Rattus norvegicus: one gene and its partners. The protein of the gene in region 1 purifies or fractionates together with the protein of each later gene. This does not show direct contact. Links are inferred from orthologs where the notes say so. Each region holds a gene or a part of one and is shown in the gene's direction. Other genes may lie near its edges.

Region 1 (3,512 bases):
TTTTCATGATGATAGGGAACAGATCCAGAGGCTCATATGCTAGGCACTCACTCCCACTGAGCTATGCCATTTTTAAGGGTAATTTTGTTTAGACCTGGACTTGAGCATACAAGAACAAGAATATACCTTTTTAAAAAGAAATATGACATTTCCTAGCTTCTTAACTGATGGGTTTGCCTATATCTCATTCAGCAGGCTTAGAATAAACATGATTTTTTAACTGTCAATCAGGATTCACATAATTAATTATATAGTAGATTATATGAGTTCTTACTTGAGTGTATCATTTGTAACTTAGTTTATTTTACCTATAGTCGCAGAGTGTCAGACAATAGAGTTGTAGCAGTTTCTAAATAGGCATATAATTTTATTGAGAAATCCATGATAACATGTAATGTCCCCATAGTAAAATGCAATAAGCAGTTTTTCAAAAGTATTTACAAAAATGTGTGCTTTATAACATGTAGAGAACACTTGTCAGTTTGAGATTCTACAACAGCTGTCTAGACTTGTTCACTAGCTTAGAGACTTGCTCATTCTAAATGGAGGACTTGCCCTGGAACAGACCATTCATATTAACCAGACTACAGATTTCTTCTGGAATTTGGAGTTACTTGTGAGTGGTTTAAACAGTTCATAGATGTTGTTATATTATCACTTCCTTTTAAAAATATTAACAAAAAATAAAAATAATAATATTTTGGGACTCTTAGAATGTATTTCTAAATTAGAGCAATATGATTGTGATAATGAAAAAGGGAGAAAGGTAAGTTCACACTTCCTTCCACTTTTCCCTAATCCAGGGAACATGTATAGCCTTTAAGACTTACCTGTCGTGCTTGTTCAATTTATGTAGCTCTTTATTACTTGATGTGCTCCTTCCAAAGACTTCCTACCATACTTTATATTAGTCAGTGAGATGGTGATGCACCCAGTATAAAGAAGTATGACTATATGTAAAGACACATAACAAGAACTATACACCTCCCTTCTTATAAAATCAGCCTTCTATCCACGAGAGTAACCTGAGCTTACTTACTTGGGTTTTGGAAGAAGAGTGACTCACAGACTTAGCCACCCTTAAAGTTTTACTGCCTTACATTTGTGTGTTTTAACAGGATGTCGTCCTGGAGCTTGAATTTGAAGGTGTGAAGGAGAAGTTGAGCATGGTCCAAGTGTGGCCTGTGCGTCAGGTGCGGCCTGTCACTGAAAAGCTGCCAGCCAACCACCCCTTGCTTACTGGCCAGAGAGTGCTCGATGCCCTTTTCCCGTAAGTTTGCTGTCTCCCACTGTCTGCCCCCAAGGTATCATGTGCACCAGCCTTTTCGTAATCCTTGCAGATATGAGTTCTCTGTATTAAATACAGCGATAGGTTTTATCTAGGGCAAGTATGATGAATTAGTTACATCTGTTGCCAATAATTAAGAGGCAAAGGTTTTTCCTCTATAGTCCCGAACAACATTGTATTTAAAAAAAACTTCCTGAAAAATAAAATTTCCAAAAGACTATCTGTGACAAAGCATATAAGTAACTTTAAGTTGTCCTAGAATTAATAAATTGGCATTGCTGTAAATCGTTAATTTCTAAAGTCAAATGGACTCCGTATGCTGTCACGGGTAGTAATTTATAGTGTGCTCTTTTCTGTTTTCTTGGCTTAGAAAATTTTACTGTCTTTTGTTAGACACGTGGCTTTACTGTATGCCGCTGTATTTTCTACAATGACCTCATCGTTTAATGCCTGGTTTCTGTTCAACCTTGAATCACTATAAATTTATCATTAAAGTCAGTGCCTCCCACTGGCCAAGCAGGCCCCTGCCACCTAGCTGAGCTGAGCAGCCTCCCCTGCACTCTCACTGAAGCTGGCTCTTTGGGGAGCTCTCCCTGTTTCTTTCCCGAAGAGACCTCTGTGCTTTGACTTCTTCTGTGCTCATTGCCTCCTGTCTGTGTCCATTATTCAGAATATACTCCACAGACTGAAACTTAGGAGTAGTTCCTAGTGGTATAATAAAACTTTGTTTTTTGCCAGAACTCACCTGGCGAAATTCCAACTGTGGAGCCGTCCAGCTGTTCCCTTCTGCTTTGCACACGCCACTGAGAGCAACCAGATGATCCGAGAAATTGATTTCTGACCACACTGCCATGGCAGCCCTTCCCCCACTATAATTGTCTGCTGGCCTTGCGGCTGCTTCATGCTTCTCTGTGTAGTTCAGATGCTCAACTCCACGTCTCCTCCTTCTCGTTTCTTCTTCACTGAGAAATCAGGCACTATGAAGCTCCACCTCCCTCCTCTCTCTTTCCCCTTTTGGGGTTCATTACATATCTGGGTTCCTCAAGTGTGTCTCCCTCTTCTGCCTCTTTTCATAAGTCTCCTGTCTAGTGAGAGAGAAAGGAAGGGAAGAGGAGAGGAGCGGCCAGTGTTAGAGTTTATCCTTTCTACGTGTCCCTGCAGTCTTGTCATGGTAAACTCCTGAGGAATACACATGACACCGGTGCTTCTCCTCTAACCCATGGGAGCTCTGTCCTGCCCTTAGCATTGCTGGTCTCTTGAACCGAACAATACATTTTTAATTTGTCACAGCTTTGAGTATTGCCTTGACATGGACACCCTGTTCTCCCCTGTTCCCTACTCCTATAAGCTTGAGTATTTCTTAGGTCTCCCTCCTGTAAGTATACTCTGCCCTCCTTCAGACCTGGGCTCTTTCAGGGTGGCCTTATTACTCTTCCTGACTAAACTGAACTTTATGACAAGATGTAAGTTTCCTAGGCCCTTCTCTACCCCTTATGAAGGAGATGCACTTGTGTTCTTCAGTGAACAGACTTGTGCAAGCAGGAATGTCATTCAGGCTATTTTATTACCTGCCTGCGTTCATATGGCTTCTGAAGACCCTTCCTCGGTGTCTTATGGAGCACACTTCCACTTTCCACCCACTGTACGTGATAACGATGGCTAATCAGAAGAAAACACGTGCTAAGTTGTCTTTTGTTACTTCAGGATACTATGTCACTCTGTACCTCAGACTTGCCTGGGATGCTATGTAATTTAAGCTAGCCTTCAATTCATGGGTAATCCTACTGCCTCAGCCTCCCAAATGCTGGGAATATAGGCATAACTGCCACGTCCATCTTTCTTTTGTTAAAGACTTGCTTAATCCATGTAACGCTGGCTGTCCTGGAACTCACCATGTAGAGCAAGCTGGCCTCAAACTCACAGAGATCCACCTGCCTCTGCGTCCTGAGTGCCGAGATAAAAGGCATGCCGCGTCACACCTGGTTTACATCCACCTTAAAACATGCTGTTAGGCACAAAGGAGTTGCCAATAATTATGACAGTATGTTCTGCGTGTATAGAAATGTTTCAGAGTAATTACCTTACAGGTATTTTTCTATCAGTTACCTACTTTGTTTAGCAGCATACATTAGCAAGCCAACAGCATAATAAACATTTCTTCTGATTTTTGTTCTGTTGCCCTTCAGGTGTGTTCAGGGAGGAACTACTGCTATTCCAGGTGCTT
Region 2 (4,055 bases), on another chromosome or scaffold:
TCAAGTCTGGCCAGTGTGATCCAGACCCTTGTCCTGACTGCCTGCAGAAGACAGTCTCCTTCTGGCTGCCTTCAAATCAAGACATAGACCTCTCGGCTCCTCCAGGACCATGTCTGCCTGCGTGCTGCCATGCTTCCTGCCATTATAGATTAAACCTCTGAACTGTAAGCCAGTCCCAATTAAAGGTAACCTTTGTAAGAGTTACCCTGGTCATGGCATCTCTTCAAATGTGCTGGTGCCCCTCTTACCTGTAACTAAGATGATATTCTAAGCTGGCCTTGAGCTTGTGGCCATCCTCTTGCTTCAAATCCCCTAAATGCTGGGGTTGTTTTTATGTGTTCTCAAATTTAGCAACTAACATGAGGCCTTGCTTGGCTCTCTACAGCACTGCACAGTGTCATTAATCTCTCCATTTCCTTAGTAATTAAATATAGATTCAGTAATCGTTAGCCACATCATAGTTAACGTGCATGTGTACATCATTCAGATTCAGAACTTGACCTTCCAGCTAGGAAATATCCTTTCTTGCGGTAGCCCATGTCCCTAAACCTGGATGAAGGCAAGAGTTCGAACAAACGAATGAAGGGGCAGGAAATACTGGTGCAGCATTCAGGAGGATGAGGCAGTAGGATCACTTGCTGCAAGTTCAAGGCCAACCTGGTCTATATTCTGAGTTCCAGCCAGCAAAGGCAACATATAGAAGATTTCAAAAAAAAAAAAAACTACAAAATAAAACCAAGAAAAGGGGGGAGGGAGTTTGTCTTGGTGGCAGGCACAAGCCTTATATCCTAATACTTGGGAGGCAAATAGTGAGACCTCTCTTTAAAAAGTAATAATAAAATAAATTTTAAAAAAAGCACTGGGTTGACCAGATAAACCCCAAGGAGACTCCCATAGGGTATACTATGACCTCACAAACTTGGGCTCGCTCCACCGCCATCCTGCACTCGCCTCCAAAACCACAAATATAACCAAATATATGTATGTATGTATGTATGTATGTATGTATGTATGTATGTATGTATGTATGTATGTATGTATGTATGTATGTATGTATGTATGTATGTATGTATGTATGTATAGGACAGAATGCTAGCAAGTGGCCTTTGACGCTCAGCCTTCTGGGAGATGTAGTTCTGTGGTTCCCGTCTCTGTGGCGCAGGAGTAAGCGGATTGATCCGAGTTCCTGCTAATGCGCGTGCCCGGGAGGCGGGGGACTGCGCATGACTGAAGGGAGGGGCCGCTGCGGGGGCGGGGCATCACTGCTGTTTGGGGAGCCTTCTGCCGGGCCGACAGGATGGCGGGCAGGGGTAAACTAATCGCAGTGATTGGAGACGAGGACACGGTGACTGGTTTCCTGTTGGGCGGCATAGGGGAGCTTAACAAGAACCGCCACCCTAATTTCCTGGTAGTGGAGAAGGATACCACCATCAATGAAATCGAAGACACTTTCAGGTACGGTAGCCTGTGAGGCCTAAATGGGCTCTTCCGCTTGCACGGGGAGAATTGATGGCCTGTTCACCTGGGTGTCAGGGGTCGATGAGGATCGGGATGGTCCCGGAAGTCGTCTCTCCAGGAGCAGGTGCCTCCGCCGTCTAAGTTCCCTTCTGGGGTCCAGTGGGGCCCGGCCTACGGCAGGTCCATGAGCTCCACATCACATGACTGTGTGTCAGTTTAGAAGAGAGTGGAGCTTGTTATCTGCCCCGGCTGTAATTGGACTCCTGGAGCCTCTGACCAGTGCTGACCGGCACGCTCAGCCCACTTCCGGGGTCCCTGACGCTCACCTGTAGCGCATTCTCTGGACCTTACAGTCTTTTCGACTGTGTCCTAAACAAACCACCTCCAATGTAGGTCCGGGCAGTCAGTGGGCGCGCGCGCGCGCGCGTGTGTGTGTGTGTGTGTGTGTGTACGCTCACAATTGTCCTGTGTGTGTGTGTGTGTACGCTCACAATTGTCCTGTGTGTGTGTGTGTGTGTGTGTGTACGCTCACAATTGTCCTGTGTGTGTGTGTGTGTGTGTGTGTGTGTGTGTGTGTGTGTGTACGCTCACAATTGTCCTGTAAGGTAGTGGTCATTCCCACCTCCAATGTAGGTCCGGGCAGTCAGTGGGCGTGTGTGTGTGTGTGTGTGTGTGTGTGTACGCTTCATTTATTTTAGAGGCTCACAATTGTCCTGTAAGGTAGTGGTCATTCCCACTTACTAGTGAAAAAATAAAGGGCGAATAGGTTAGGGCACAGACCCGAAGACACACCAGCCATAAAAGGCAGAACCCAGGTCAACTCTTTAATTATGGAGTTTGTGTTTGTGTCCGTGGGTAGGCGTGCACACATGGAGGTCAGAAGACAACTTTGTGGAGTCGGTTTTCTTTCCATGGGCTTTGAGGATAGAACTCAAATAACCAGGCTTGCATAGCTCACACCTTTACCTGTGCCTTTCTTAAGCTATTACCTACTCTGTGTATACAGTTCCTTGCAGTCTGCCTTGGGGTTTCCATTTGTCTTTTGACAATGGGCAAAACTTCTGGGAAGTATGACCTTCCACAAAGACCTTTTACTTCAACTCCTCACTTCATGCCCTGGGTCATAGTTTCAAAAAGTGGGTGCAGGCATTGCTTTTAAGCCAAAAAGTGCCCTGTTGACTAGAATTGTGGGTGCCAACTCCCTATTTTTTCCTCTCACTCCTCTTCTAGAACTACTATGCAAATCTCAGGAATAAACTGCCCTCACCTGTTTTCCCTCAATAGCAGAGTCCAGGGATGCCGGCTGAGACTAGTTCCCACAGCCTGGAATGTGGCAGGCTGTGTCCTGGGAGACTGATCTCTAAGGAACCAGTAGTGTGACCTCCGTTGTCACTGGAGGACAGATCTTACTTCTAAGAATTTACCATGTTTCCAACAGGAAGGAATCCTAAAACCAAATCTGTTCCATGCTTGGCACAAAGTTGGTGCCCAGTAAATTATTTCTAATGAGTAAATACATGGTTGAAGGGGCATGCATGTCTGTGTGTGGAGGTGATCACATGAGAGGAAGGCCAGAATGACAGTCTCTGTCTGGAAATAGTGATTCGTTCACTGCTGAGTTTCCTCTTTCCATCTTGCCTTTGGCTCATAGCAGATGTCCTCCTGGTCCATCCCCTTAATCAGCATAGAACTGTAGGCCTTCAGTGGTCTCCTCGACCCTAGCTCTAAACATTCAGTAAAAATCAAAAGATATACATTAAGGAATCACTCTGCTACTCCATCCTTGCATTTTTCTTGATTTCAACCACTATCAATAATAAGAAAAAGGTTTTGTTGTTTTGTTTTATGAGACAGGGTTTGTGTAGCCCCAGCTCTCCTGGAATTACCTCTGCGGACTAGGCTGGTCTTGGTCTTTTTTCTTTTTTGTCTTTCCTTCCTTCCTTCCTTCCTTCCTTCCTTCCTTCCTTCCTTCCCTTCCCTTCCCTTCCCTTCCCTTCCCTTCCCTTCCTCCTTTATTTCTTTCTCTTGGTTTCGTTTTGTTAAGGTTTTTTGTGTTTCTAGACTCTTACACAGATACAAAGGTGCTCATACCCAATTTCCTCGCCTCTGCCTCTCTTCCACGGAGGCAGCATATAGAACACACTGACATGGATCCTGGTCTTCATTACCAGTTCCCTCCATGAGCAAATGTGTGGACTCCAACCCTGATCAGTGTGGTTCTGAGCTCCTGAGTGCAATTGGTTCATCCAAGGAGAGATAAGGTTGAAGGCCTTATGCATGCAGTCACTGTCATTCCCTGCTCTTCTCCCCCAACAGGCAGTTTCTAAACAGGGATGACATCGGCATCATTCTCATCAACCAGTACATCGCAGAGATGGTTCGGCACGCCCTCGATGCCCACCAGAGGTCCATTCCAGCCGTCCTGGAGATCCCGTCCAAGGAGCATCCCTACGACGCAGCCAAAGACTCCATCCTGCGCAGGGCCAAGGGCATGTTCACTGCTGAAGACCTGCGCTAGGGCTGCTCAGCCCTTAACCCTCCTCTCGCTTCCAGGCCTCTCCCAGTTTGCCACCCTCTATTTAAGTTTCAAGCCTTGG
Region 3 (4,204 bases), on another chromosome or scaffold:
AATAAGAAAGAAATGAGTGCAAGTAAGCCAGAGTTTTGAAGCTGGACAGTGGTGGTGCACACCTTTAGTTCCAGACTAAGGAGGCGGACACAGACAGATCTGTATGAGTTCAAAACCAGCCAAGTTCCAGGACAGCCAAGGCTACACAGAGAAACTCTGTCTTGGAAAAACATTGAACTTGGAGCACTGCTTAATAATCAAGCCTCCTGGTCCCCATCACCACCATGAGACCACCAAGAAATTATTAATATGGAGAGGGGTGGTGCTTAATACCAGCACTTGGGAGGCAGAGGCAGGTAGATCTTGTTTGAGGCTAGCCTGGTCTATGAACATGGTGAGTTCCAGACCAGCCAAAGCTACATCGACACTGTGTCCAAAACAAAATAATAAAGTGTGTATCAAATAATGTACAGGACTTTTATTAGGTTTGTTATATTGGTGGTATTTTGACATAAATTGAAATATTAATATGATTACTTGTTATGTTGATCACAATGAAGTTTTCAGGGGTGAAGGTATACTGATAGTTATATAATTTACTCTATTTCAGACAAAAAGGAAATAGGGAAAACCACTTAAGGGGTAACTTCTAGGTGTGATGAACTGCAAACCTGTCCCTTTGGAAATCCATATATTGAAACTCTAGGATAACAATAGCAAGGGGGGTTGGGGTATTTATGTCATGGGGAGTCCCTTGTCTAAAAATATCAAAAAACAAAACAACAAACAAAACAAAACAACAAAAAAGAACCTCAGTGACAACCTTGCAGGTAGGTACAACTATTACCCCTACTTTAGCAGTATTGTCCAAGCCCCTATCACTATTAAGAGGAGAAACTTGAGTTCCTAATCCTGACCCACCCCACCAGGGAAGTCTAAATGTAAAACGTCAATGCTGTACGGAGCCTAGCAAGTGGACGTGTCAGTGCGTGCTTGTCTGGGATCACTTCTCGGGGAGCTGGAGGGCGGCGCTAAGGGCTGTGAGGAAACAGACCTCAGGCGCCGAGCTGAGGAAGACTGAGCCGGAGAGCGCTCAGAGCCGAGGGTACCAGGGTCGCCGTCAGGCCCCTCGGGGTCGCGGCCACCCTGAGCCACTTACCTCGTCGCGGCATTGTTTTTGGCACATCTGGCAGTACCAGCGAAGCTTCTGCAGCCCTTTAGACTTAATTCTATTCGCGATGGCCTTGGGGCTCAGAAAATCTGACTTGCCCATGGCGACCCTGAGAGTACAACAGCGAAGCCGTCGGAAGCGGAACTGGACCCGCGCGCGGATAGGCGGGACCAAAACTGACAGCAGGAAGTGGGTGGGGCCAGGGACCTCGCGGCTTCCGCGCTCACGAGATTTAGCGAGACTGAGGGCGCTAGCGGAGCAGGCCGCTGCTCCCCGAGCTCCCGCGCACGCGCAGTGAGCCTCGTCTGCCCGACCTTCAAGGTTCTACCATGTTCTCGCGGGCGAGTATTGTCGGGCTGTCGGCCTGCTCCTTGCAGCCGCAATGGTATGACTACGCCGGGAGGCATGCCGGGGCTTGGGCTTGCTGCAAGACAGGAGGGATGGGGCTGCATGCTCGCTCCTGGCGGAGGAAGACCCCAGCTCTTGCACGGCCCGGCCACTCGGGCCGCGGCAAGGTCTGCAGAGCTGGAAGGTCGCGTGCCAGTCCCGGGGCTGGGGTCAAAGGGAACAAGGTCACGGCCTGATCCGCTGGGACTGGAACGGCCACCTGGGACCTCAGGACCCGTACGAGAGTCGGATTGAGCGTTGGAGCCATCTGGGTTTCGATCAACTCCGTACTTCCGCTCCGTACTAGGGAGCACATCTTGCAAAGTCTTTAGAAAGGGCCTCAAGGTGAAGGGGAGATCCGGCAGAAAGCCCTAGTTAAGTTGTAACTTTTGTCTTTGACGCCCTGTGAAACACTGCACTGGGGAGTGACCCTTTAAGGTGTGATCGCTTGGTTGAGCTCTTTGGTCTGGCACTCGCTGTGTATCCATCAGGCTCTTTGCTGGTTACTGAAGAAACGAAGGAACTCAAAATCAGCCCCCTCCCGCACTTGCTGGTCGCCTTGGTGCTGAAGGGGCTTAAAAAGATCTGCCGATGTCAACACGCCCTCATGTTGAAGTAAAATCCTTGCAAGGTCATAAAACTGTCCCAAGGTCCCTCGGTAGGAGAAGGAGGCCTTAATAAAATTACATTTGTTAACTGCCATGTGATAAAGGGATAGGGTAAGGTTTAATACTCTCTGTGCAGAGTACAATAAAATTGTATATTAGAATGCCTAGGGATGGACAGATAAAATGTGGTTATGGGTGACATTGTATAATAACATCAACTACTTTGAAGCTAGGTGGCTAGAATTGGTGATAAGATTAACTGTGGACAGTGTTTTAGCGATTCCTTGGTTTTACTGTATGGAATATTAAGGCGCTCCAGCACTAAACTAGGGTTTTGTAAACTAGTTTAGGGAACTGCCACGAACTAGTTGAAATCGTTCTTTCATTAAGCAAAGAATTTGTAGCAATATGCTAAGACTCCAAAGTAGTGAGGAAATTAAATATGATATAAACTATGTATATGAAGAATATTGGCCGGATGGTAGTGGTGGATACCTTTAATCCCAGCACTTGGGAGGCAGAGGCAGGTGGTCTCAGTGCCTTCTAGGTAGTCCTAGTGGACAAAGGGAGTTCCAGAGAAACTCAGTGTGTGTGTGTGTGTGTGTGTGTGTGTGTGTGGCGGGGGGTGTGTGTTAGATTAACCTTGAGTCTAACCTCAGGTTGGGTTACTTAACTGTGGAGGTCAACAGCAGTTGAATTCTCAGCAGACATTTGTGGAGTGCCTGCCCTGCACCAGTTGGCCCGGCACAGGTGTTAAGATGTGAAGGGTCTTTGAGCTTCTGGGAAAGTTGGTGACATCCGGTGCTGCTCAGCAGACACGAGCTCTTTCCAGAGTGTGTATATACAGTGTGTAAAAAGACGATTCTGTTGTCAAGTGTAGTTGAGGCCATTGTCAGCATTTGATAAACTTCAAACGTTTCCTGAGTTAGCTAATGCTAGGTGTTTTCCTTAATTCTATGTGCAGCCTTACACACTCCCAACATTCCTTCTAGACTGCTAATTCGTTCATAGGCATCGATCCCGATTCCTTCCTATACTGACTTGAAGTCTTCAAATAACACTGTACGATCAGAGATGCTGAAACTTACCCACGGTCCACCTGCTTCTCCATCAGCATGTTTGGTGTTGCCAGCTTTCTGTTCTAGCCTCCTCAGATGAGTCGGGACATGATGTAGTAGCTGACCCTTTGTCCTCTCAGTGTGGACTCCTCTCAGTGTGAAATTCAGTAGTGTAGATTGTCCTAAAGGCTCAAAGGGGGGGCCCAAGAGGTACACGCTTGACATCCTGAATCCGGTTCTAGCTCCCTAGACACACAGTTGAAGGAGAGAGGCAACTCCCAAAATTTGTCCTTTGACTTCTCCCCTTGAGACTCAACATTCCGTATTTATATTTTGCCCCATAATATTTTTAGGCAGTCAGGTACCTCACGGCCATTCAGTGATTGAGTGGTATGTGGTCTTGAGCTTGAAGTGGTAGCATGCACTGCACAGAGGGAAGACATTTCCTTGATAGACCACAGACTCAGAATGTAAAAACAAAAGCATCATATCAATCCAAATACAGTGTGCGGTTCACACTGTATCCATGCAGTATTCCGTTATGAGGAGGCCGTGTCGGTTCAAGTGAAGCACGTGCCTAAAAAGACTCGCAGTAAATCAGGAGCATTTGGGTAGCACCGTTGAGGAGAGGGAAAAAGCGAAGCAGCTCAGTGTTGTTACCTCTGTTGTGCCATTTCTAGAAGGGATTGAGAGAACGACCACCATCCAAGAGCTGGTGTGCTGACATGGTTTGTCATATATTCCAACTTTGACCTTTTCTATATTTTTACCACCAAACCTGGTATTTTCTGTATAGTCTGTTATTTTTCTTTCTCTATGCCTAAGTAGTACCAGAATCAAAATATGTAAGTCAAGGGGCTGGGGATTTAGCTCAGTGGTAGAGCGCTTACCTAGGAAGCGCAAGGCCCTGGGTTCGGTCCCCAGCTCCGAAAAAAAAGAACCAAAAAAAAAAAAATATGTAAGTCAAAACTTTGGGGTTTGTTTGTTTGGACTGGGGGCTTTTAATTTTTTCTAGTGCTAGGGCCTTGAACATGGCAGGC

The links. Proteins that work in one complex are often made in the same cells at the same time.
Region 2: the proteins of Atp6v1a (region 1) and Atp6v1f fractionate together in Homo sapiens (co-fractionation; 3 studies listed by BioGRID and IntAct, with this or other methods). This does not show direct contact. The link is inferred for Rattus norvegicus from reciprocal best matches to the Homo sapiens genes ATP6V1A and ATP6V1F.
Region 3: the proteins of Atp6v1a (region 1) and Atp5f1c fractionate together in Homo sapiens (co-fractionation; 3 studies listed by BioGRID). This does not show direct contact. The link is inferred for Rattus norvegicus from reciprocal best matches to the Homo sapiens genes ATP6V1A and ATP5F1C.

Annotation. Positions count from the first base shown.
Region 1 is NC_086029.1:70,094,993-70,098,504, forward strand, and holds part of Atp6v1a (V-type proton ATPase catalytic subunit A), read left to right. Parts: intron 1-1,118; coding exon 1,119-1,270; intron 1,271-3,474; coding exon 3,475-3,512. UniProt on the Homo sapiens protein: Catalytic subunit of the V1 complex of vacuolar(H+)-ATPase (V-ATPase), a multisubunit enzyme composed of a peripheral complex (V1) that hydrolyzes ATP and a membrane integral complex (V0) that translocates protons.
Region 2 is NC_086022.1:59,031,767-59,035,821, forward strand, and holds the start of Atp6v1f (V-type proton ATPase subunit F), read left to right. Parts: upstream 1-1,253; 5' UTR 1,254-1,297; coding exon 1,298-1,455; intron 1,456-3,774; coding exon 3,775-3,976; 3' UTR 3,977-4,055. UniProt on the Homo sapiens protein: Subunit of the V1 complex of vacuolar(H+)-ATPase (V-ATPase), a multisubunit enzyme composed of a peripheral complex (V1) that hydrolyzes ATP and a membrane integral complex (V0) that translocates protons.
Region 3 is NC_086035.1:73,332,283-73,336,486, forward strand, and holds the start of Atp5f1c (ATP synthase subunit gamma, mitochondrial), read left to right. Parts: upstream 1-1,402; 5' UTR 1,403-1,440; coding exon 1,441-1,496; intron 1,497-4,204. Other genes in the region: Kin (DNA/RNA-binding protein KIN17), read right to left, coding at 1,100-1,213.